Sus scrofa: one gene and its partner. The protein of the gene in region 2 interacts with the protein of the main gene of each other region in a biochemical or structural test. Links are inferred from orthologs where the notes say so. Each region holds a gene or a part of one and is shown on either strand. Other genes may lie near its edges.

Region 1 (3,667 bases), about 38 Mb from region 2:
GAATCATGTATCAAATACCTGCATTTAAGTATCAAACATGACACGTACCATCGAGGGTCCCTGAACTCGTTCCCAGGCATCCTTCGCCTCTGGCCTGCAGTAACCGCTCTCCTGAGTGACAGGGTCTGCTGTTCTCAGTTGTCAGCAATTATAATCTGCTCCGAGCCCCTTGGATCCACCTTTTTAGCCTTAGTCCATCTGCTGGTTTGTCCAGATTTATACCCAGGAATTTGCTAGGCAAGGGGACACACCATCTTCAGCTTTGCTGATGTTGCCAGATTATCCTCCGAGTGGTTGTACCAACATAACTTTGTTGGTAAACCGTCTGGCCCAGGCATAAAAGTGCCTCTGCCCTTTTTTATTTCCTCCGAATAAAATATTTTAACAGCACGGTTTTTTTTTTTTTTTTTTTTTTTTTTTTTTTTTTGGCCACACCAGCAACATGTCGAAGTTCCCGGGCCAAGGATCAAACTCATACCACAGCTGCGACCCCAAGCCACAGCAGTGACCACACTGGCTCCTTAACCCAATGCACCACCAGGGAACTCCTTAACATCCCTTATTGATGTCTAGTTTGTCTCTGCCCCTCCCCAGACATCCCTCCCCCACTTCTCCAAAGGGCCTCTCACAACCTCCCCACTTAGAGCAAGGGCGCTGGTGGCAATAATCCCGGAGGCCAAGAGGCACAGATCTCAGCCCAGATTTGCCACTTTGGCTGTGTGCCTCTGGGCAAATCGCTTCTCCTCTCCGAGCCTGTTTCCTCACCTACAAAACCGGGAAACGCACAGTAATCCACAACAAGGGGCGTGACAACAACTACAGAAGCATGGAAATGCGGCAGGCACTCCACAAGGGAGCTGTTTCTATTACCTTTGGTGCCCACAGAGGATGCCAACAACTTTGCGTCTCACTCAGGACTACTCTGGTTGTATGCGACACAAACCCCAAGTCAAGGCGATGGAAGAAAACTGGTCATTTATTGGCCCGAGTAACTGAAGTCTGAGGGGCTATCTTGCTTCAGGTGTGACTGGATCCAGGTGTTCTGACACCACCAGGAAGCCGGCCAGCCCTGCCCGCCTCCGGGCTGTCTCTCCTCCATCATTCTCAGGAGGCACTCCAGGCATGGGCCCCAAGGACCACATTCCCCAGCTGCACGACTGCCGTGAAGAGAAAGAGCTGCTTCTTCCTGACATTTGCTGCCCATGTCCAGCGCTGGGCCTCACTCTGGCCAGGTGGTCACTTGCTCACGTCGGAACCAGTCACAACGACCAGGATGTCCTCCAGATCCTGCTACTGGGGATGGGGGGTGGGGCGGGCGTCTCGGAGCAGCAGCAGAACCAGTCGGGCGCTCCTTTGAAACACAGAGTCTCAGGCTCCATCCCAGCTCGACTGAAGCAGAGTTTGCATTTTAGCCAAACCCCCAGGGGAGCCGCCTGCACAAGTCTGAAGAGGACGTCACTGTCCATTAACTTTTTCAGTTGCGGAGGCAATTTTTAAAGTTCTGTTTTATTAAGAACCACAAAATGTAGGCCCTAAGAAAGCCGTTTGTGGTTGTCAAGTCCACCCGCTTGTTTTAAAGAGGGAGAAACTGGGGGCCAGCAGGGAAGGGTCTCCTCTAGACGCCCACCCAGTGCTTCCCTTCCGAGGACTAACTCGTGGAGAGACATGTCAGAGCCCAGAAGGCCCAGCCGGGGTTGGAACTGCCTCATTCGAGAGGTGACGTGTCCCACGCTTCGTTCAATTACACACACACCCAGTCAGGGACCCGGGAGCATGTGAGGATGGAGACCCAGAAGCACGCATGCGCACAGGCGCCTGCGCATGCGCGAACACACTCCCGCATGCGCACACAGACCCCCCCAGACCCCGCCCACCCTCGCTCCGACTCTGACCCACTAGGCACCCCCTCAAAGCCAAGATCACTGCAGACCACACCAGCCTTTATTCTATTACAGAGTAGGGCTGGGGCCAGGGTACTTCATTCTCAGGCTGCGTCAGAAGGTGCGGAGTATTGGGGCCACATGGACTGGACCCCGAAGTGACAATAAGTTAGGGGAAAAATTCTCAGACTGTTGTCAGGCTGGAGCCGGGGCAGGGTGGGGCTCTACAAAGCCACTGCCAGCTGCTGGGCTCAGCACTCCTGGGCAAGGCTGGTTCCGGAACAGGCACACTGAAACACAATAGGACAGAGAGAGAGGGAGGGGTGATGAGGTCAGGAGGCTGGTAGAGGTCAGAGAGGAGAGGGCTGAGATGGCGGGAGGGCAGGGAAGGTCGAGGGCCCGAAAGTTCAGGGCAGGGCTGCGCTGGGCGGGGCCTCTCACCAGGCCCTCAGTTAAGCTGCAGATTCTCGTAATCTGGAGCTTCTTCATCCTCCACCTCCTGGGAACGCACGGTGGCTGTGAGGGAAGCGGAGGTTGGTCTCCAGCTGGCAATCCCCACCCCACCTCCGCAGAGGCAGCTCCCCCAGTGTCTGCCCCACGTCCCCCCAACACACACCAGGCTTGGTCTTGGCCACGGGCTGTAGCTCCTGGGACACGTTCACATACTCCCGGCTCCCATCTGTGGGGACAGGTCAGAAGGAGGGACGGCCATACCCAAAGGGCGGCAGGCCCCATTGAGGGTGAGAGAGGAGGACACCCGATCAGAGGGTGAGGGAGTCACAGGGGGCTGTGGGCATCCCAGGGCTGGGGTGAGCGTGGGGATGGGTGCTGGGGATGAGGGTGAGGAGGGAAGGTAGACCCCAGGAGGGCGCCGGGGGCTCAGCCACTCACTTAGAGACGCATCTGCACTCTCCTCACTCTCAGGAACGTTCACGTAATCTTCCCCGGACTCCACTGTAGCAAAAGCACCAGTGCCCCCGGCACTGTTACCCAGAGCCCCCAAGTACAGACACCCCGAGACTCCCAACCACAGCCATCAAAGACTTTCCACGTGACCAGACCAATGAGACTCCTACACACAGATACCCCCTGCCCCCAGAGACCATCCCCACAGTCAGTCCCAGAGGGGTGGGGGGAGGGCAGTTTGGACCGGAGATGCTGGTGGCGATGGAGGAAAGTAGGATACCTTGGTCAAAACCGACTAGAGGGAATAGAATTGTGGGAGAAGAGACAGCAGACCTCCAGGTGACCCCCTAGCATGTCCTCCAGGTTGGGGAGCAGCTCAGGGTGATGGGGCTGGGTGCCATGTGTGAAGAAAACAATACCCAGGGCTGGGCTCACTTAAAGGCGCCATTAGCCCCGCTGCCCTTCCTCCTTAGCCAGGCCTGCCCAGACACCCGCTCCTGTCCTTGTCCCTTCCTAGCACCTGTCGCCATTGTCGGCATTTTATTCGTGCTGACTTATTTCTCCACGAGGATGTAGACAAGGCAGGCTTCCAAACCAGACTGCCCAGGTTCAAGTCCAGCTCCAGCTTTAACTTACTGTGTAACCTCAGACAAGCTACCTCACTTCTCTGGGCCTCAGTTTTCTCACCTGTAAAATAGGGTGAGGAATGGTACCCACTGAGGCATCGTGAAAACTAAAGCAGTGAATTAAAACAGGGCCTGTGGTACAGGAAGGGCTGCCAAGCTTCTGTTAAAAAAAAAAATAACTGTACCGATGGGGCAAAAGAGGGCCAGGCGGGGAAGGGCCAGGCTCCAAAGCAGCTGGGAATTGTGTGGTTTAAT
Region 2 (5,082 bases):
ACTTCACTGCTTTCATTGCTGGCCACTTGGAGGTGGTTTGGTTTTGTTCTCTTGCTTTTAATAGTTGCCATTCTTTCTTTCTTTCTTTTTTTTTTTTTTTTAATATTATGGCTGCACCTGTGGCATATGGGCGTTCCAGGGCCAGGGATTGAATCCAAGCCACAGCTGCGACCTACGCCACTGTGATTCTTAACCCACTGCACCATAGCAGGAGCTCCTGGAGTCGGTTATTGAACCTCTGTGGGTTTCACTTACCTTATCTGGAAAATGGATTCAATGGGTTAAATTGCAAACTGCTTACAAGTTTGTGTGACCCATAGTAAGTGCTACGGTTATTATGGTAGATTATGTGGTTCTGAGGCTGTGATTTCTCCCCTCTTCAGTCTGCCAGGGCGTTCTTCTCTCATTTCCCAGGAAAGGAGTACCCAGTGTGGAAACAAAGACTTTTTCTGTACCCTGAATCTCACAATATCTGTGGGGAAAAGGAAGGCTTCTAACAAAAACAATTTTGGGGAAAATCTCTGCAGGAGAAAAGTATCCCAGCCTGGAGCTTAGAAAAAAGATTTCTTGGAGTTCCCATTGCTTAGCAGGTTGAGAACCTGATATAGTGTCTGTGAGGATGCGGGTTTGATCCCTGGCCTCACTTAGTGGGTTAAGGATCTGGCATTGCCGAGCACTGCAGGTTAGGTTGAGGATGAGGCTGGGATCTGGCGTTGCCGTGGGCTGTGGTGTAGGTCGCAGATGCAGCTCAGATCCTGTGTTGCTGTGGCTGTGGTGTACACTGGCAGCTGCAGCTCTGATTCGACCCCTAGCCTGGGAACTTCCATATGCCACAGCTGCAGCCCTAAAAAGGAAAGAAAAAAGATTCCCTGAGTAGGGAGAGGGGGCTTTAGGGAAGGGAGAGTAGTAGAGAGTGGGGAGAGGGTACCAGAAAAGGAGACGGGGGTAAAGTGCGGAGGAAACGTCAGGCTGGTTGGGGAGCTGGGCTTCCCTCAGGGTGGAGGCACCAGAGAAGAAAGCTTCTTGGGATCTTAACAGTGGGCCTAGGACAGCCCCTCGCGGGTCCCTGAGGCCCCATGGGTGGCCAGCCACTGAAGAGGACCCCGCATGTCCAAGGGGGCCAGGAAGTATGGTGAGAGGGTGTCCGAAGCACTGGGGTGGGATGGGGGGAGATGGAGCAGAATGAATGTGGGGACAGGCCTCAGCCCTGCAAGCCGCCAGCTCTGCAGGCTGCTGGGGGAGCATGAGGTGTGGTCACATGGTCAGAGGGTGAGTGAGTATGAGGAGGGATAAAGGATGAGGAAGAGGCAGTGAGCAGCCAGGGGCGGTGTGTGGGCCCAGCAGTGGTTGGTGGGCATTGGGGCCCACGCTATCTCCATGTCTTGATGACAAAACCAATCCTTCTCTGAATCCAGCCCTGATACCCCCTGGGCTGCACTGGGCCCCTCTGTGTACACTGTGTCCAGGCCTCCGCCATCCCAGCCCTGGTCTTCCTGGTGACTCAGCTGTCCCCTCGTCTGGCCTGTGTCCCATTCGAGAGCAGGGACAGGGCTGGCATTGTTGGCCTGATGTCTGGCACACAGGAGGTGCTTCGAACCTTTGCGGTGTAGACCAACTTGGGAGATTACTTCTCCCTCCAATTTTAATCTGCTGGTGGAATGAATCAGTCACTCATATGAGCAATTCATCCAGGGACAGGCCCTGGGTCCATGCCTCCATTGGAGGGGAAACTGGGGGCTTTCTAGTTTCCAGCGAGTCCTGGGGATCCCCCTCCCACTGCCACTACACCACCTCATTCGGCCTCACAGCTCCCTTCCCTTCTCCCCAAGTTAGGGGTGTGCTCTTGGAGCCATCATTCTTGCATAACCCCTGCCTGCAGCTAGCCTCGCCCACCGCTCCCCTCTGCCACCACTACCAGAGCAGACTCTGCTGGGCCCCGGAAATGCCCTCTGCCCTCCCCAGAGCACGTGGCCCGCGATTTTCCTTGAACACAGCACTTTGTGACTTTGACGTAAACTTCAAACACAGCCCGCTTTCCTGTCTCCACATCAAGGAAATAGGCTGAGTTTCAGAGAAACCTGTTGCCAGGAGTGCATCAGGCCTTCCGCACTGGGTCCCTGCCCAGCTCGGGCCTCCGTGCTCTGCTGCGTGTCCAGGTGGGTTGCTGTTCTCCCGTCTTCTGCCTCTGTTGGGCCAGCACGGCCACCGCAGGGCCTTCTGTGGCTGCCGGCAGTGGGTGAAGCCAATTCCGCTCCCCCTTCCACCCCGAGTGAGAAACCCTGGTGGGGCAGGGCCTCCTTACACCTTGCCGGGGTGAGTGAGTGGGTGATTAGCCGGCAGGGGCCTCAGGCTGGGGGCTCAGGCTGCAGAGCAACTCAAGTTGGTTTCTTGGGCCCTGATTCTTCATCTAGAACCAGTTGCTGTGGGCTTTGGAACTGAAGACCAGAGACCTTGCAGGTGGCCTGTGCCTTGACCTCCATTGGCACATCCCCAGGTAAGTCATCCTGGATGGAGCAGCACCTGGCTGGAACTGCTGTCTGCAGGGGTGGCCTGGGTCTGGTGGAGGAGGACAGAGTCAGGAGGACACTGGGGGTACCTGAAGGGCTACAGGACTCTGATGGGTGGTGTCCAGCTGGAGAAGGAAGTAGACACGGCTGGTGGCCATCCTAAGCAGATCTCCCTCCAGATGGTCAGCCAAGTGGTAGAAGATACCTCTATCCGGGGGCCACAGAGATGCCTGCTCAGTCCCTAGCCTCCTGTAGGGCCCCAGGAAGCAGAGAAACCTCCAGAGAAAACAACCATGTGCTCTGGCCCCCAGGTCCATGAAAATGAAGGTGGCTCAACAGAGCCATGAACTTGAACATCAAAATGCTGATGAGTCCCATGAGGGGACCCAGGGCAGGCTCCAGCTTTGTAGAGGAGCTCAGGTTAAAGGCGAAACAGAGAGGCAAAGGAGCAAACAGTTCTAATCCTGCTCAATTGCTGTGTGTCCTTGGCAAGTTGCTTGGCCTCTCGGAACCTCTGCACATCTGTTAAAGGCGGATGCAATTGTTGGCACCTACTAGGTGCTTGGCTCCTAACTGTTGGGTGAGAGGTTGGAAAGCTGTTCCAGGCAGGAAAGGGTCTTGGCAGGAAGGAACAGGGAAGCTCATGTGGTGAACGGCTCAAGATGAGCTTCATTACCCTTGTCTCAGGGTAGTGAGTACACAGTAGGTGCTTAATAAAACTTTGAGATTAGGGTCAGGGACTATGGGACGGAAAGTCCTTAGGTGTCACCTGTGAAGCTTTTCTCCTGCCAATGCAGGGCTGCTTTTTCCTGTTGTTGCTTGTTCTCCTGCCTCACCACACAGCCCTGGCAAGGATGCTGGGCAGGCAGACAGCCGGGATGGTGTTTCGGTGTATTCTCTGGAGCCAGGAGGCCTGGCTCTACCACCTCCTTTGTGTGCTATGTGACCTTGGGCAAGTCCCTCCTCCTCTGTGTCTTCATGTCCCAAATCCACAAATCCTCCACATACAGTGTTCTCTCGAGGATTAGGGAGTTAATCTATCTAGAGTGCCTGGCACACAGTAGGTGCTGTGTAAGCATATTGGTGTAGTCTCAAGTATGATCCCTAGCTCTGGGTGGTCTCATAGCCCCTGGAGACTCTCCCAAACCAGATCCTTAACCCACTGAGTGAGGCCAGGGATTGAAGTGAGGCCAGGGTTAAGGATGTGCTTGCTTTTTTTTGTTTTTGATTTTTAGGGCCACACCTGCGGTATATGGAGGTTCCCAGGCTAGGGGTCTAATCGGAGCTGTTGCTGCCGGCTTACACCACAGCCAGAGCAATGCAGGGTCCTAGCCATGTCTGTGACCTACACCACAGCTCATGGCAACACCGGATCCTTAACCCACCGAGTGAGGCCAGGGATTGAACCCGCAACCCCATGGTTCCTAGTCGGATTCATTTCCTCTGTGCCACGATGGGAACTCCAGGAAGTGCTTCTTAACTGGAGCCAATTTCACCTCCCCCATCCCCACTCACTGGGGACATTCAATAACATTTTTGGAGACATTTTTGGTTATGACTCGGGTGTTACTGGCGTCTAGTAAGATACAGGCCAGAGATGTTGCTAAACATCCTACAGTGTGCTGTCTGGCTCTGTCCTCCCCACTCATCCTGCCTTTTCCATCCTTTAAATCTTTCCCCATCACCCTTTGACAGTCACAGAGCCTGACACCAAGAGAGGGATGGCCCCTTGCTGGGTTTCCACAGCACTTAAGACCCTGGTAGCAGAAGTTGGAGTTGGGGAGGGGGGTTTGATCTTGTGACATCGTTCAGTCAGTCAACAGACAGTCTGCTTGAGGTTTGAGGACCTGCCTTTCACTCCGCAGCAGCTCAGCAGTCTGCCCTGACTGTCCCTGAAGGCAGATCCAAGTGTAGCAGCACCCAGGCCAGGCTGGGGTGGGAGCCCTTCTGGGGACCCAGCTCAGAGCTGTGGATTCTGCTCTCCTAATGGACACTCCCTACAGTGGTTAGTGCCAGCCACTGGGCAGACACATGGTTCACATCCTGACTGCCACTTGCACCACTGGGCTGACACATGGTTCACATCCTGACTGCCACTTGCAAGCGACATGATTCTGAACATGAAATTAAACTCTCTGAGCCTCAGTTTCTTTCGCTGAGGAATGGGGATTCCCATTTAATGGAGCGGCAGTGAGAACTAGATTAACTGGCTAATGCTCAGAAGAGGTGTAGGAGGAGCTTCCGCTGTGGCACAATGGGGTAGGGGCATCTTGGAAATTCTGGGACTCAGGTTGGATCCCTAGCCTGGCACAGTGGGTTAGGGATCTGGCGTTGCCATAGCTGCAGCTTAGGTCAAGACTGTGGCTTGGATCTGATCCCTAGTCCGGGAACTCCATGTGCTGTGGAGTGGCCAGAAGAGGAAAAAAAAAAAAAGAAAAAGAAGAGATATAGTAAAGTCTTTGGCAAGGAGATTATTGTTATTGTTGCTGTTTGACAAATATTTTTTGGGAGGAAGCAGGAGCTGCAGTGAAAACAAGACAGGTGTAGGTGCTTTGGGGAGCCCGGGCTGGTCAGA

The links.
Region 1: of the proteins of tyrosine-protein kinase ZAP-70 (region 2) and LAT, one has a biochemical effect on the other in vitro, tested with the Homo sapiens proteins (2 studies listed by BioGRID). The link is inferred for Sus scrofa from reciprocal best matches to the Homo sapiens genes ZAP70 and LAT.

The regions. Positions count from the first base shown.
Region 1 is NC_010445.4:18,641,643-18,645,309, reverse strand, and holds the end of LAT (linker for activation of T-cells family member 1), read right to left. Parts: intron 2,835-3,667; coding exon 2,772-2,834; intron 2,560-2,771; coding exon 2,497-2,559; intron 2,397-2,496; coding exon 2,329-2,396; 3' UTR 2,322-2,328; intron 2,171-2,321; 3' UTR 957-2,170; downstream 1-956. UniProt on the Homo sapiens protein: Required for TCR (T-cell antigen receptor)- and pre-TCR-mediated signaling, both in mature T-cells and during their development.
Region 2 is NC_010445.4:56,538,709-56,543,790, reverse strand, and holds the start of tyrosine-protein kinase ZAP-70, read left to right. Parts: upstream 1-1,984; 5' UTR 1,985-2,156; exon of another isoform or gene 2,157-2,313; intron 2,314-2,411; 5' UTR 2,412-2,494; intron 2,495-5,082. UniProt on the Homo sapiens protein: Tyrosine kinase that plays an essential role in regulation of the adaptive immune response. Regulates motility, adhesion and cytokine expression of mature T-cells, as well as thymocyte development.